Saccharomyces cerevisiae S288C: one gene and its partners. The gene in region 1 interacts genetically with each later gene. Each region holds a gene or a part of one and is shown in the gene's direction. Other genes may lie near its edges.

Region 1 (5,426 bases):
AGCTTTTTTTTTTTTTTTTTTATAGAGAGTAATCTCAAGGAAAGAATATTAATACTGTGTATATATATATATATATATACATATATATATAAAACTGTTTAGATAAATTAACCAACCAAAAAGATACATGTATTTTTATTATTTTTACCTATTATTTTTTACTTTGCTGCATCTTCATGTTTCCGGGAGACCAGAATTATCTTTCGGGCCAAAATATCAAAAATCAATCATACATAAAAGCGTGTTAGAATTTACATTATTGCACTTAGAAAGGACATGAGTACAGAGCACAGTAATTGTGGTGATGTTATCTAAAGAAGCGTTAATAAAAATCCTCAGCCAAAATGAAGGTGGTAATGATATGAAAATTGCCGATGAAGTAGTACCAATGATACAGAAATATTTGGATATATTCATTGATGAGGCGGTGCTGCGGTCCTTGCAATCTCACAAGGACATTAACGGAGAACGTGGCGATAAAAGTCCCTTAGAGTTATCGCATCAAGATTTAGAGCGTATCGTAGGGCTTCTTCTGATGGATATGTAAAAGTATTCAACTTACATTACATCCATGTAAAGACATAAGACATTCCTGGTTGTCTGATAAATTTAAAGCACTATATTTTCTTTCAGTCGTCCTGAACTACGTTAGTTTACTAAAGTAGTTTTTGGAGCGATCGTGCGCTCACATATACAAATATACAGTTCATTTTATACTAAACGCTTGCATCAAAACGCGCTGTGAAATGATTAAATTACTTAGTCCATATATATTATGCGATGCGAGAAAATGCTCATCTGATTAGAAATGCGGACTGGAATGACAGAATCACTTCATAAATCAATTAGAGTATATCCCCGGTTATTTGAGCCATTATTTTGAGACTGCTGTTGAGACTGGTTACCAAAGCCATAGCCTGTTTGTGTTGGTACGACGCTAGTGCTTGGTAAACCTGTATACTGACTGTTCAAAAACGGATTGTGGTTTGGATCATCCGATACTTGCCTATATCCTGTTCCTTGAGAATTGATGAATGTTCCTGTCTTCGTATGTTGGGCAGGAATACGAGCCTCCCCTACATTTCCGAATGTATCAATACCTGTTCCTGTGGCTAGTAGCTCGTTTAGTTTACTATACTTGTCTGTCATTGATTGATTGCCTGTCCTGTTTTGAATCAATGGCTCTTGTTGTTTTTGTTGTTGCAGTTGCTGTGGAGAAGAAGCTGCTACTAGTTGGTTCCGTTTTGGTGAACTTGAGCTCTGTTCTGATTTGGCAAATGGATTGTTGGACATTGCCTGTTGCTGCTGTTGCATAGAAGCTAAGTACTGTTGTTCCTGTAGTTGTTGTTGTTGTTGAAACTGTGCTAGTTCTTCGGGTGTTATAGGATTCCCGAATACATCGTAGTACATTGGTTGTTGTTGCAACTGTTGTTGTTGCTGTTGTTGCTGTTGTTGCAATTGAAATTGTGCGTATTCCTCAGGAGTGATTGGGTTACCAAAAATATCATAATACATAGGTTGTTGCAATTGTTGTTGGCCTTGCTGTTGTTGCATTCTTTGTAAATCTTGCAATCTTTTTAGCTCCTCTTCTTCTTTGCTCAACTGCAAAGCTGTTTCATAATCCTCGTCCTGTTTTCTTCTTCTTTCGTCTTCTTCCGCCGTCAACCTGCTAGCACTAATGGCTCTTTGCAAATCATCGTCATTTTCATCACTGCGCCCAGTTCCCCTTCTTCTTCTTCCTTTCCTGTTTCTTCCCTTGATATTCATGTTCCTTTCCTCGTTCAGTCTTTCGTCATCAGATAGTAATGCAGTCAATTCTTTTGCTTTGACCCTAACGATTTGACCTTGATCTATGCCCTCATCGTCCTCGTGCCTGAACTCCTTCAATGTCTTGATGATGTATAAATTTTCTCTACACCAAAGAACACAATTCTCACTACCAAACCTGATCAAGTAATCTATTACTGTCAATGCCTTTGCGATATGCCTCCAGTATTTGCCCTTGTCGTTAAGTCTTTTGTCCAGCATATCCATGATTTCGAAGAAATCTGCGCTATCATATGATTTTTCAGCCAGCTCAATTAACGAGTCCTTGGACACTTGATGATTGTCGTTTGACGTTGCATTTCTTACCAGGACCTGGGTAGAAGAGTACCCTTTCACCAAATTCTTCGCAGATCTAACAAATTGTTTCGACATGATTGTTCTGCCTCTTGCTCCCTTTCCTTCTGATCCTGGCACTCATACGAACGGCTCTTTCTTCTACTTCTTAAAACTCCTATTTGTCATTGAAAGAAACTTTCATCATTACCCGGATGATTCTCTATACGTAGCCACAATTTCAGACAACCATACTTCCAAAATCAAGTACTTTGAACAACATAAGGCCCCACCAACCTTCCGTAAGACTTGCAATAGGAATTCGTACTGCAGCCGCTGGTTCTATTGCTGTTTAACTCTGTCATCTTTTTGCTCGCTTCGATGTGTTCCTCCACTTGAGATGGCTGATGGAATTTTTCACCTTAACGCGAAAACGCGTGAAAGTGAAATTTAGCTGCAATAAGCCATGCGTTTGCATCTCGCTGTACTTTGTTCAAAAATAAAAGTAATGATTTTGGAGGTTTAGAGCAGCTTTTAACGTCATTGTTCATCAATTACATGCGCAGATTACTGACCGGTTGCCTTCTTTCATCTGCACGTCCCTTGAAATCAAGATTGCCATTATTGATGTCATCCTCATTACCTTCCTCTGCCGGTAAGAAGCCTAAACAAGCCACTTTGGCTAGATTCTTCACTTCCATGAAAAATAAGCCAACAGAAGGTACTCCTTCTCCCAAAAAATCATCCAAACATATGCTGGAAGATAGAATGGATAATGTTAGTGGGGAAGAGGAATACGCGACCAAGAAATTGAAACAGACGGCTGTTACACATACTGTAGCAGCTCCAAGCTCCATGGGTAGCAATTTTTCTTCTATACCATCATCCGCTCCCTCTTCCGGTGTTGCTGATTCACCGCAACAATCTCAGAGGTTGGTAGGTGAAGTTGAAGACGCCTTGAGCTCAAATAATAATGATCACTATTCGTCTAATATCCCCTATTCTGAAGTTTGTGAGGTTTTTAACAAGATTGAGGCCATATCTTCCCGTTTAGAGATTATAAGAATCTGTTCTGATTTCTTTATTAAGATAATGAAGCAATCGTCTAAGAACTTAATACCTACAACATACCTTTTCATCAATAGATTGGGCCCTGACTACGAAGCAGGCTTGGAATTAGGCCTTGGAGAAAATCTTCTTATGAAAACCATAAGCGAAACTTGCGGGAAATCCATGAGCCAAATTAAACTTAAATACAAGGATATTGGGGATTTGGGTGAAATAGCAATGGGTGCGAGAAATGTCCAACCCACTATGTTTAAGCCCAAACCCTTGACCGTGGGTGAGGTCTTCAAAAATCTTAGAGCTATTGCTAAGACTCAGGGCAAAGATTCACAATTAAAAAAGATGAAGCTGATCAAGAGAATGCTTACTGCTTGCAAAGGTATAGAGGCTAAGTTTTTGATTAGATCCCTAGAGTCAAAATTGAGAATCGGTCTTGCTGAAAAGACTGTCTTAATATCCCTATCGAAGGCTCTTTTGCTCCATGATGAAAATAGGGAGGACTCTCCAGACAAAGATGTCCCCATGGATGTGTTAGAAAGTGCTCAACAAAAGATAAGAGACGCATTTTGTCAAGTACCCAACTATGAAATTGTTATAAACTCATGCCTGGAACACGGTATTATGAATTTAGATAAATATTGTACTCTAAGACCAGGAATTCCATTGAAACCCATGTTAGCCAAGCCTACCAAGGCAATTAATGAAGTATTGGATAGATTTCAAGGCGAAACTTTTACGTCAGAATACAAATACGATGGTGAAAGGGCTCAGGTGCATTTACTAAATGATGGTACAATGAGGATTTATTCCAGAAATGGCGAGAATATGACTGAGAGATATCCAGAAATTAACATAACGGATTTTATCCAGGATTTGGATACTACCAAAAATTTAATTCTAGACTGTGAGGCTGTTGCTTGGGACAAAGATCAGGGGAAAATTTTGCCTTTCCAGGTCTTAAGTACAAGGAAACGTAAAGACGTGGAGCTGAATGATGTTAAAGTTAAAGTCTGTCTCTTTGCATTTGATATACTTTGCTACAACGATGAAAGGCTGATTAATAAGTCACTAAAGGAAAGAAGAGAATACTTGACGAAGGTTACAAAAGTTGTCCCGGGAGAATTCCAATACGCGACTCAGATAACAACAAATAACCTTGATGAACTTCAAAAATTCCTTGATGAGTCCGTTAATCACTCATGCGAAGGTTTGATGGTCAAAATGTTGGAGGGCCCTGAATCCCATTATGAACCAAGTAAAAGGTCAAGAAACTGGTTGAAATTAAAAAAAGATTACTTGGAGGGGGTTGGAGATTCATTGGATCTCTGCGTGTTGGGGGCATATTATGGTAGAGGAAAAAGAACTGGTACGTACGGTGGGTTCCTTCTAGGATGTTACAACCAAGACACAGGAGAATTTGAAACTTGTTGCAAGATAGGGACAGGATTTTCGGACGAAATGTTGCAGCTTTTGCACGACAGGTTGACCCCGACGATCATTGATGGACCAAAAGCCACGTTTGTTTTCGATTCGAGTGCTGAGCCAGATGTATGGTTCGAACCTACGACTTTGTTTGAAGTTTTGACTGCAGACCTTTCCCTATCGCCTATTTATAAAGCAGGTAGTGCAACTTTTGATAAAGGCGTATCCTTAAGATTTCCAAGATTTTTGCGTATAAGAGAAGACAAGGGCGTAGAAGATGCAACCTCTTCTGACCAGATCGTCGAATTGTATGAAAACCAATCCCACATGCAAAATTAGATGTGCACACTATTTTTCTCAATTAATCATTAAAAAAAAAAAAGAGGGCGTTCTGTTCAGCTCCAAAACGCCGCATCACATATAATGACATTTATTTACTTCTTTCGTTTCTCTGTCTACCTTACATAATAGCATTATAAAACAATAAGAAATCTCTTTGGCACTTTTCCCACCTTTGTGGGTCAAAAAACACATATGATCCCCTTTCACTTAAACCATCAGCGGATACAATAGGTTCCATCATAGGATCTTTGGTGAGCCAGGCCTTCAACGTCTTGTGGTATCTCCAGTTCCTTTTCCTGAGTTCCAAATACGTTAGTTCCTGGATGACTGTACCAGGGTGTTTATAGAAGAGGAAAAATAGAGTTTCATCTTGAAAAAGGGCAACACGCTGTTGGTCATTTTGGATGGAATTGAAGCATGGTGGAGTTACAGTGGATTGTAATACGCCCGGAATATTGGTGAATGATTCTGGTGTGAAAAATCGGGGCTCCACTTCG
Region 2 (4,400 bases), on another chromosome or scaffold:
TGACAGACGACTTCAGAATGGAAAAGAAGGTAATATGTCAAGATATCTTTTGGTCATGTGATGGTACATCGTTTGTTTCTGTGCATAATGATTTTGGCATCAGACAATATTTAGTGCCGGAGGAAAGTAATACGGACAAGCTAAACAGAAACCTCCTTCTACCATTTACAAGGTTTTTTAGAAACCAGTCTATTGTTTCATGTGCAATAGACCCGTTTTACACGCTTTATAACGAGAATTCCGACAGGTTAGCTGGTGACAGAATCGTGGTTGGAGGAAAAAACTTCCCTCTACAACTATACTCTTTGATGGACGGGCAGTGTATCCTCAGCTATGACACGATGAACAAAATAAATGGAGAATACGAAACTGTATACAGTGTGAAAATCGATGTTGAGTCTCGTGTATACACTGGCTCATGCCGTAACAAAGTGGCGATATACGACAAGAGCAGACGAGATGCCGTGTGGATGAACCAGAGTACCAAAAAAGCAAGCAAGGGAAGACAAAGCATTATATCTTGCTTTGAAGAGCAACCAATGGGAGGGCAAGCTCTCTCAAGAGGATCTCTATTGTGTGGCAGTTATGCGAATGAAATGTTTCAGGTAGACTGCCGTCATCAACGACTAGAGAGACTGAACTACACCCGCACAGTTGCAGGTGGGATTGTACAAATCCTTACAAGCGATAACGGGCGTTACGTGTACGTTGTCAGACGCAACAGTGACGCGATTAGTATTTACGATCGGCGAAACCTGCAGCACGAGCTTAACGTATTGCGCCTACCGTTTCGGATCCACCACAACTCTGCAAAGTTGAAGGCATATATAGATACGGCTTACGGACTAAGTATGGGGACGCCGCAGGGAACAATATTGAACTGGGGTCGAGACCTTGTGGAATTTGGAGGTGTTCCCTCACACAATAGTGTTGAAGACCCACTAATCACGTCTATCCCGCCAGAGTCAGAGTGGCGCACTAACCTTGATTCTACTATTCCTGCCACGGTAGTGAAGAATTGTCCTGGGGATCCCGAACTGTTCGCCCTATCTCATGGGGGCACAATTTCATTATGCAGGTTCGGCGGCTAAAAACGGCAAACCCGTATTCGTGTATCACCCGGCCAGCTTTCTCCGATGAACGCGCACAAGTAAGAAGTTAAATTGCATCCCCCAGACACCACCTCTTTTGTTCACTTCTTGCCTCATGCCGTCAAAAAATTTTTTTCGCATCGAAAAAAATCCCCAAAAGAAAAGAAAAAAGTTCTTATTTTTATATAGTGCCACCATCGGGAAAAACTTCCCTGTAAAGCATTAACAGAGTCTTCCATCCCCGCTTCTGTCCTTTATTTGTTTCATAGAAGCTATTAAGCATCATATACTGCACACAGGAGCATGCATAGTGTCTGAAGCCTCTTTTGTTCTGTACTGCACATAATATTTCATAGAAAAACTAACGGAAAGAATCTACAACTCATAGTATCTGTAAATCCGTCCTATTGTCATATCACAATCACAGACTATGACCACTCAAGAATCGATCAAACCTTTGGTAGATAGAATCCTATCAAATCCCCTGCAGTTCAATGCTGCAATGATCTCTAACAAATCGAATAATAATGATACTTCCGCCGCGCCGGAAAATAGCTCGTATATTGTGATAGGAAAACAGCATAATAACAATAGTAATAGCACAGCTATTGCTGCAACGGCCGAATCCAAGCAAATAAAAGAAAATAACTTGATAGACAGGCCAAACGGAAAGAAAACCAACACTGTTCCTAAATCTATGGCTGAAGCTTTATTGTTGTATACTTCTAAAAATGATAAAGATGCTGCAGATGCTACTGGTGCCAAGAAGTCAGCGGAGCTTTCTACGGAGCTTTCTACGGAGCCTCCTTCCTCTTCTTCGGAAGATGACAAAGTAGGAAAAGAGGAAGAGGAAGAGGGTGAAATATTTCATGAGGCAAGAGACTATGTAGAACCCCGAAAAGCTAGTTTGAAGGAACGCGACAACGCAGATAAGGGCGATGGTGAAGACATCGGCGAAGACATCGGTGAAGACATCGGTGAAGACATCGGTGAAGACATTGGTGAAGACATTGGTGAAAACTTGGGTTCTCCATTAGCAACCATTGATGATTCATCTAATGAGAATGAAAAGGAAAAAAGAAAGGAACTGTCTACAAGCATTAGCAGTGATGACGAAATAGAAGACGACGAGGATGAGGATGACATGGATTATGATTCTAGTGCTATGGAAAAAGAGCTCCCTGAAGAAGAGGAGAACGATTCCAGCTCCAAAATTTCTGAAGGCGAAAAAAAGAGTTTATATCAAGATTTAATGGAAAATAGTACAGTGGAAGTAAATCGGTACGAACCAGTAAACAACACCAAAGAAAATGGAAACAGGAATCCAAAGGGAGAGGAGGAGGAAGAAGAGGAAGAAGAGCTGAAACATAAATCTAGGTCAATCACCCCTCCGGTTACAATATCAAATCTATCAAACTTTTACCAATTCAATGAAAATATCAATGATCGTGGTTCTTTAAACTCTACTAGAATTGTTAAAAATTGGGGCGACAAATTCACCAATTTGAAGCCTCGTGGCCTTTTGAATCATGGTGTTACTTGTTACACAAATGCTGCTGTACAGGCTATGTTACACATTCCTTCGATACAACATTATCTTTTTGATATACTAATGGGGAAATACGATAGCACCATCTCAAAAAATTCCGTTTCCTATACTTTAGCTGAAACAAGTAAAAAAATGTGGTTACCGGTCTCAAAAAACCCTAGAAAGAACGTTTCAGCTTCCTACATTAATCCAAAACATTTGATTTCCAGATTGGATGACATTAATTGTATGATGAGCGAATGGCAGCAGGAAGATTCACATGAGTACTTCATGTCTCTGATGTCAAGATTACAGGAAGATTCTGTTCCCAAGGGTCATAAACTTATAGAATCGATAATATATGACATATTCGGTGGTCTTTTAAAGCAGATCGTTACTTGCAAATCTTGTGGCAGTATATCTAAAACAGAACAACCATTTTACGATTTATCGTTGCACTTGAAAGGGAAGAAAAAACTTGATCCAAATTCTGACCTGTCGAGTGATAGCATTAACGGCACTTCAGCCACCACTTCTACCACTACCTCCAATGCTGCCACAAAACCATCTCTTTCATCCTCTTCATCTGTCAATTTAAACAATGGCTCACCATTTGCCGCTGCCAGTGATTTAAGTTCAGCCAACCGCAGATTTTCTATTGAAAAATCAATTAAAGATTTCTTCAATCCCGAATTAATCAAGGTTGACAAGGAGCAAAAGGGTTACGTTTGTGAGAAGTGTCACAAGACCACGAACGCCGTGAAGCATAGTTCAATATTAAGGGCTCCTGAAACTTTACTTGTGCATCTGAAAAAATTCAGATTCAATGGCACGTCCTCATCAAAAATGAAGCAAGCTGTTTCTTATCCTATGTTTTTAGATTTGACGGAATATTGTGAGAGTAAAGAGCTACCTGTCAAATACCAACTATTAAGCGTGGTGGTTCATGAGGGCCGCTCCCTTTCTTCAGGTCACTACATTGCCCACTGCAAGCAACCAGACGGTAGCTGGGCCACTTACGACGACGAGTATATTAATATAATATCTGAAAGGGACGTTTTAAAGGAACCCAACGCATATTATCTCCTATACACGAGGCTAACTCCAAAATCGGTTCCATTGCCATTGGCGAAATCTGCCATGGCCACTGGTAATGTTACCTCTAAATCCAAACAGGAACAGGCTGTTAACGAACCAAATAACCGCCCATTGAAGATTAATAGCAAGAAAAATAACAGAAAAAAATGGAAAAAAAATAAAAAAAGGAAGTTCACCAAATGAAAAAACTCGATATTCCTGGATTTTCCTCTTTTCATAGGCATTTTTATTAGCATTTCATTTTTATTATACCAAATCAATATATACATATAAATATCCGGTCTTTATTGACTTATAAAACAACTCTCAGTATACAGAGTTGGAGAAGCGTTTACTCAGAATAGCTTCAGTACTACCGAGCTTTGCTAACATAACGGGAGAAAGAGAATTTAAAACTTATATACATATTTACAGAATAGATCAGTAGAAAGAAGAAGGAAGGTCTGTTGAAAATTTCTCGAAATTGACGGTACTTTTTTGTCTTTTCACTACTTACAGATCAAGGTACAACCTTAATACCCATACTTTTTGCAACGCCAACTATTGATTTAACAATACCTTCCATCTCCAATAAACTATGCCTTTCATCACTCTTTTTTATCTTGGCTATTTCGTAAACGTGCTTCAGCGATAACTCTCCTAAAGCACGGGTTGGTCCCTTGGCAGGTGCACTGCCTAACATT
Region 3 (4,012 bases), on another chromosome or scaffold:
TGTCCTGTCAGGCCATTAATTTGGGACATAACCAGGTTTACTTGCTGATTTTCCAGCTGAAACAGAATTCTTTCGATTGCCATGAGCAAAATCACAAATGCAAAGTACATGACTGTGAAAATTATTGTCATTCTCTTACATTTACGGAAAACGTGATTTTTTACTGCACTTAGTACACTGTTTTCCTCGCTATTTGTTTTCAGAGACCGTTTAATTATTGAAGTAGACGATGTAACCTCGGTACTCCCCCCAGATAAAATGGAAATTTCATTCTGTAAGTTTGCAGTAAAGTTCCTTTTCAACTGAAGCCAGTCAGTGGAATTTCGTAGAAAATTCAAACTTAAGGTACTAGAGGTATCTAATTGAGTAGAAAAGTCAGTGATAGTGCCATTGAAGTTCTGCAATGATTTCAATTTCCTTGAGTAGTTCCCAAAAATACTGTCAAACATGGAGTAATTTAACAGTAGGTTTGATGCCATTTGTGAAATGGAATCCTTATCAATGGTCATTGCGTCTTCTGATATTTCATTCCATGTGTCATTTATCAGCTGTGATTTAGTGAGTAGTTCGTTAAAAATTGTATTGTTTACCTCAAGAACTTCCTTAATCAATTCAGTTTCCAAACTTATTTGGTCGTTGATAAGTTTTTGTTTATTATCCAGTATGTCGTCTGTGTATGACTTGAATTTTTCTTGCATATCCGTACCTACCGTAGATTCAATACTCCGTAGTTTGCTTTCGAAATACTGATCAATTGTATTATCAATGAATGTTTTATTTAAAGAGTAACTGTTGGCAGAATATATGGCATGCTGTGTTGTGACTGCTGTCATTGTGGCCGTTGTTGTGGCCGTTGTTGTGGCTGTCGCTGTAGCAGTTGAAATAGATGCAAAGGTTGAGACGGTATCATTTCGTTTGACCTGTGCGTGAGACATTTTTGCCATTGTAATGTCAATGACTGAAAAGGAACCCCAAATAGTTAAAATAACAGAAGTAAAGAATATCAGTAATAGAGGATGGAAAATACAACTAAAAAACCTCTGTGGAAGTGATAAAGGTTTAATTATGTGTACATTGTTCATCTTTGCCGTACTCTTAGTTTTATCGAAAAGTGGTGTAGATTTTCAGCTACTTAAGCCATGTTAGTGTTCTAGTTTTTTGCTTTACATGTTATATAAAGGGCCAAGATAGCATATGTAAATGTTTTATTACTGGGCTGAAACATTTTTAAAACATTTTTCAATAATGTGCTGTTATAACCGTACAAGGACGGTTATAATTCTGAATTAAAATGCTGCACCGAATGAAAATACCAATGTTCTTCCAAACCTATTGGCGAAAATTAAGATAAGCTGTCGCCTCTATAATCAAGAATAATCTCAACTATTATAAATATTATTCCCAGAAGTTGAAATTGTGACACATTTGAGTAATATCACCTTACACGGAACATAGTTGCCCCCTTCTCCGAAATTGCTGACAATGATAATCGGGGATTCAATGACAATGACAATGAAGGCAAAAGATTTTCATATTGTACTCTTGTTTTTTGAGTTATCACTTTCAAGTACCTTCTTGTTAACAGAAATAGAACCGCTATAGAGGTTATCGTGTATACGTATCTGTTGGTGTTTCTAAATCAAAAACTCGCTTTTAAAGCAGTCTTTCAATTGGAAGATTCAAAAGGATCTAAAAAGATCTAAAGTAGTAAAGAAAAAAGTATAAGCCCACACCTTTTTGGTAGGATAATGTTTACTGGTCAGGAGTATCATTCCGTAGACTCTAATTCCAACAAGCAAAAAGACAACAATAAACGTGGTATTGATGACACATCAAAGATCTTGAATAATAAGATACCGCACTCTGTTAGTGATACTTCTGCCGCCGCCACCACCACTTCTACTATGAACAATTCTGCTTTAAGTAGATCCTTAGATCCTACTGACATAAACTATAGCACAAATATGGCTGGTGTGGTTGACCAAATACATGATTATACTACTTCCAATAGAAATTCTTTAACCCCACAATATTCTATTGCAGCTGGAAACGTCAATTCGCATGATCGGGTTGTTAAACCCAGCGCCAATTCAAACTATCAGCAGGCTGCATACCTTCGACAACAGCAACAGCAGGATCAGCGACAACAGTCACCCTCTATGAAAACTGAAGAGGAATCCCAACTCTACGGTGATATTCTGATGAATTCTGGTGTCGTACAGGATATGCATCAGAATCTGGCCACTCATACAAATCTGAGCCAACTGTCGTCTACCCGTAAGTCCGCTCCGAATGATTCTACTACAGCCCCGACTAATGCGTCCAACATCGCCAATACGGCTTCTGTGAACAAGCAGATGTATTTCATGAACATGAATATGAATAACAACCCACATGCCTTGAACGATCCATCCATCCTGGAAACATTGTCGCCATTTTTTCAACCTTTTGGTGTTGATGTAGCACATTTACCTATGACGAATCCACCAATTTTCCAAAGTTCTTTGCCTGGATGCGATGAGCCAATTAGAAGAAGAAGAATATCAATCTCTAACGGTCAAATAAGCCAGCTAGGCGAAGATATTGAAACTTTGGAAAACCTGCACAACACACAGCCGCCCCCGATGCCCAATTTTCACAATTATAATGGTCTGAGCCAAACTAGGAATGTATCAAACAAGCCGGTCTTCAACCAAGCAGTGCCGGTTAGTAGTATTCCACAATACAATGCAAAAAAAGTTATTAATCCCACGAAGGACTCCGCATTGGGTGATCAGAGCGTTATTTACTCGAAAAGTCAGCAGCGAAATTTTGTAAACGCGCCATCAAAGAATACTCCAGCGGAGAGTATAAGTGATTTGGAAGGCATGACGACGTTTGCGCCAACTACTGGAGGTGAAAATAGGGGCAAATCTGCACTTAGGGAATCTCACTCTAATCCTAGCTTCACTCCAAAATCTCAAGGATCTCATTTAAATTTAGCGGCGAACACACAGGGAAATCCAATCCCTGGTACTACGGCATGGAAGAGAGCAAGATTGTTAGAAAGAAATCGAATTGCAGCTTCGAAATGTAGACAAAGGAAAAAGGTTGCGCAGCTGCAGCTCCAAAAGGAATTTAACGAAATTAAAGACGAGAATAGAATTTTACTGAAAAAGTTAAATTACTATGAAAAACTAATCTCTAAATTCAAGAAATTCTCCAAAATTCATTTACGTGAACATGAAAAACTAAATAAAGACTCAGATAATAATGTTAATGGCACTAATAGTAGCAACAAAAATGAAAGCATGACTGTGGATTCATTAAAGATCATTGAAGAACTTTTAATGATCGATTCAGACGTTACAGAAGTGGATAAAGATACTGGTAAGATCATAGCCATCAAGCACGAGCCATACTCTCAACGTTTCGGAAGCGATACTGACGATGACGATATAGATCTCAAGCCCGTAGAAGGTGGTAAGGATCCAGACAACCAATCATTACCCAATTCTGAAAAGATAAAATAACAAAGTTTTGGTGAGCACAACGGTGTTTCATTCAAGAATGATAAGGACAACTATATATGTAATATACGTGTATAAATACTCGAGCTGCATCCTTTCTTTTCTGCCGTTATTATTTCGTTTAGTTACTACATTTATGGTATAAATTACCTTTAAGACATTATTATTTTGCATGTATGAAATTTGCTCGTGTCAACCCCTTAGTCCTCCTTGCCTCTGTTGTATGGAGGAAGCCCTTTAAACCTGTATTTAGTTTTTTAAATCTATTAGAATTAAGTACAATTGTACAGATGGTAAAAAAAAGTAATCGTTATATCGTTTGTCAGTGATTTTTTTTTTTTTATTTCATTCATTATTTATTTCTTATTTTTCAATTTGTTCCCTTATTGGGGCAAACCACGGGTGTCCCATCGCTTCCTTAGCAGTTAATCTTTCTTGATGATCATATCTCAAAAGATTGTCAATAAGGTCAATAATTTCATCGTTGCCGCTTAAATGTTTAT

What was found.
Region 2: mutations in CDC9 (region 1) and UBP10 impair growth when combined (synthetic growth defect), as found in Saccharomyces cerevisiae (one study listed by BioGRID).
Region 3: mutations in CDC9 (region 1) and CST6 together harm fitness less than expected from each alone (positive genetic interaction), as found in Saccharomyces cerevisiae (2 studies listed by BioGRID).

The regions. Positions count from the first base shown.
Region 1 is NC_001136.10:164,487-169,912, reverse strand, and holds CDC9 (DNA ligase (ATP) CDC9), read left to right. Parts: upstream 1-2,658; coding exon 2,659-4,926; downstream 4,927-5,426. Other genes in the region: MHF2 (Mhf2p), read left to right, coding at 305-547; ENT1 (epsin), read right to left, coding at 835-2,199; CCR4-NOT core subunit CDC36, read right to left, coding at 5,048-5,426. UniProt on the Saccharomyces cerevisiae protein: DNA ligase that seals nicks in double-stranded DNA during DNA replication, DNA recombination and DNA repair. The mitochondrial form is required for mitochondrial DNA maintenance but is non-essential while the nuclear form is essential for cell viability.
Region 2 is NC_001146.8:287,977-292,376, forward strand, and holds UBP10 (ubiquitin-specific protease UBP10), read left to right. Parts: upstream 1-1,521; coding exon 1,522-3,900; downstream 3,901-4,400. Other genes in the region: SWT21 (Swt21p), read left to right, coding at 18-1,091; mitochondrial 54S ribosomal protein uL11m MRPL19, read right to left, coding at 4,217-4,400. UniProt on the Saccharomyces cerevisiae protein: Deubiquitinating enzyme involved in telomere and HM loci silencing, which is the repression of chromatin structure which leads to a stop in the transcription of nearby genes.
Region 3 is NC_001141.2:283,918-287,929, forward strand, and holds CST6 (Cst6p), read left to right. Parts: upstream 1-1,748; coding exon 1,749-3,512; downstream 3,513-4,012. Other genes in the region: pheromone-regulated protein PRM2, read right to left, coding at 1-1,082; casein kinase 2 catalytic subunit CKA1, read right to left, coding at 3,873-4,012. UniProt on the Saccharomyces cerevisiae protein: Transcriptional activator of promoters containing ATF/CREB sites. Can independently stimulate transcription through ATF/CREB sites. Important for a variety of biological functions including growth on non-optimal carbon sources.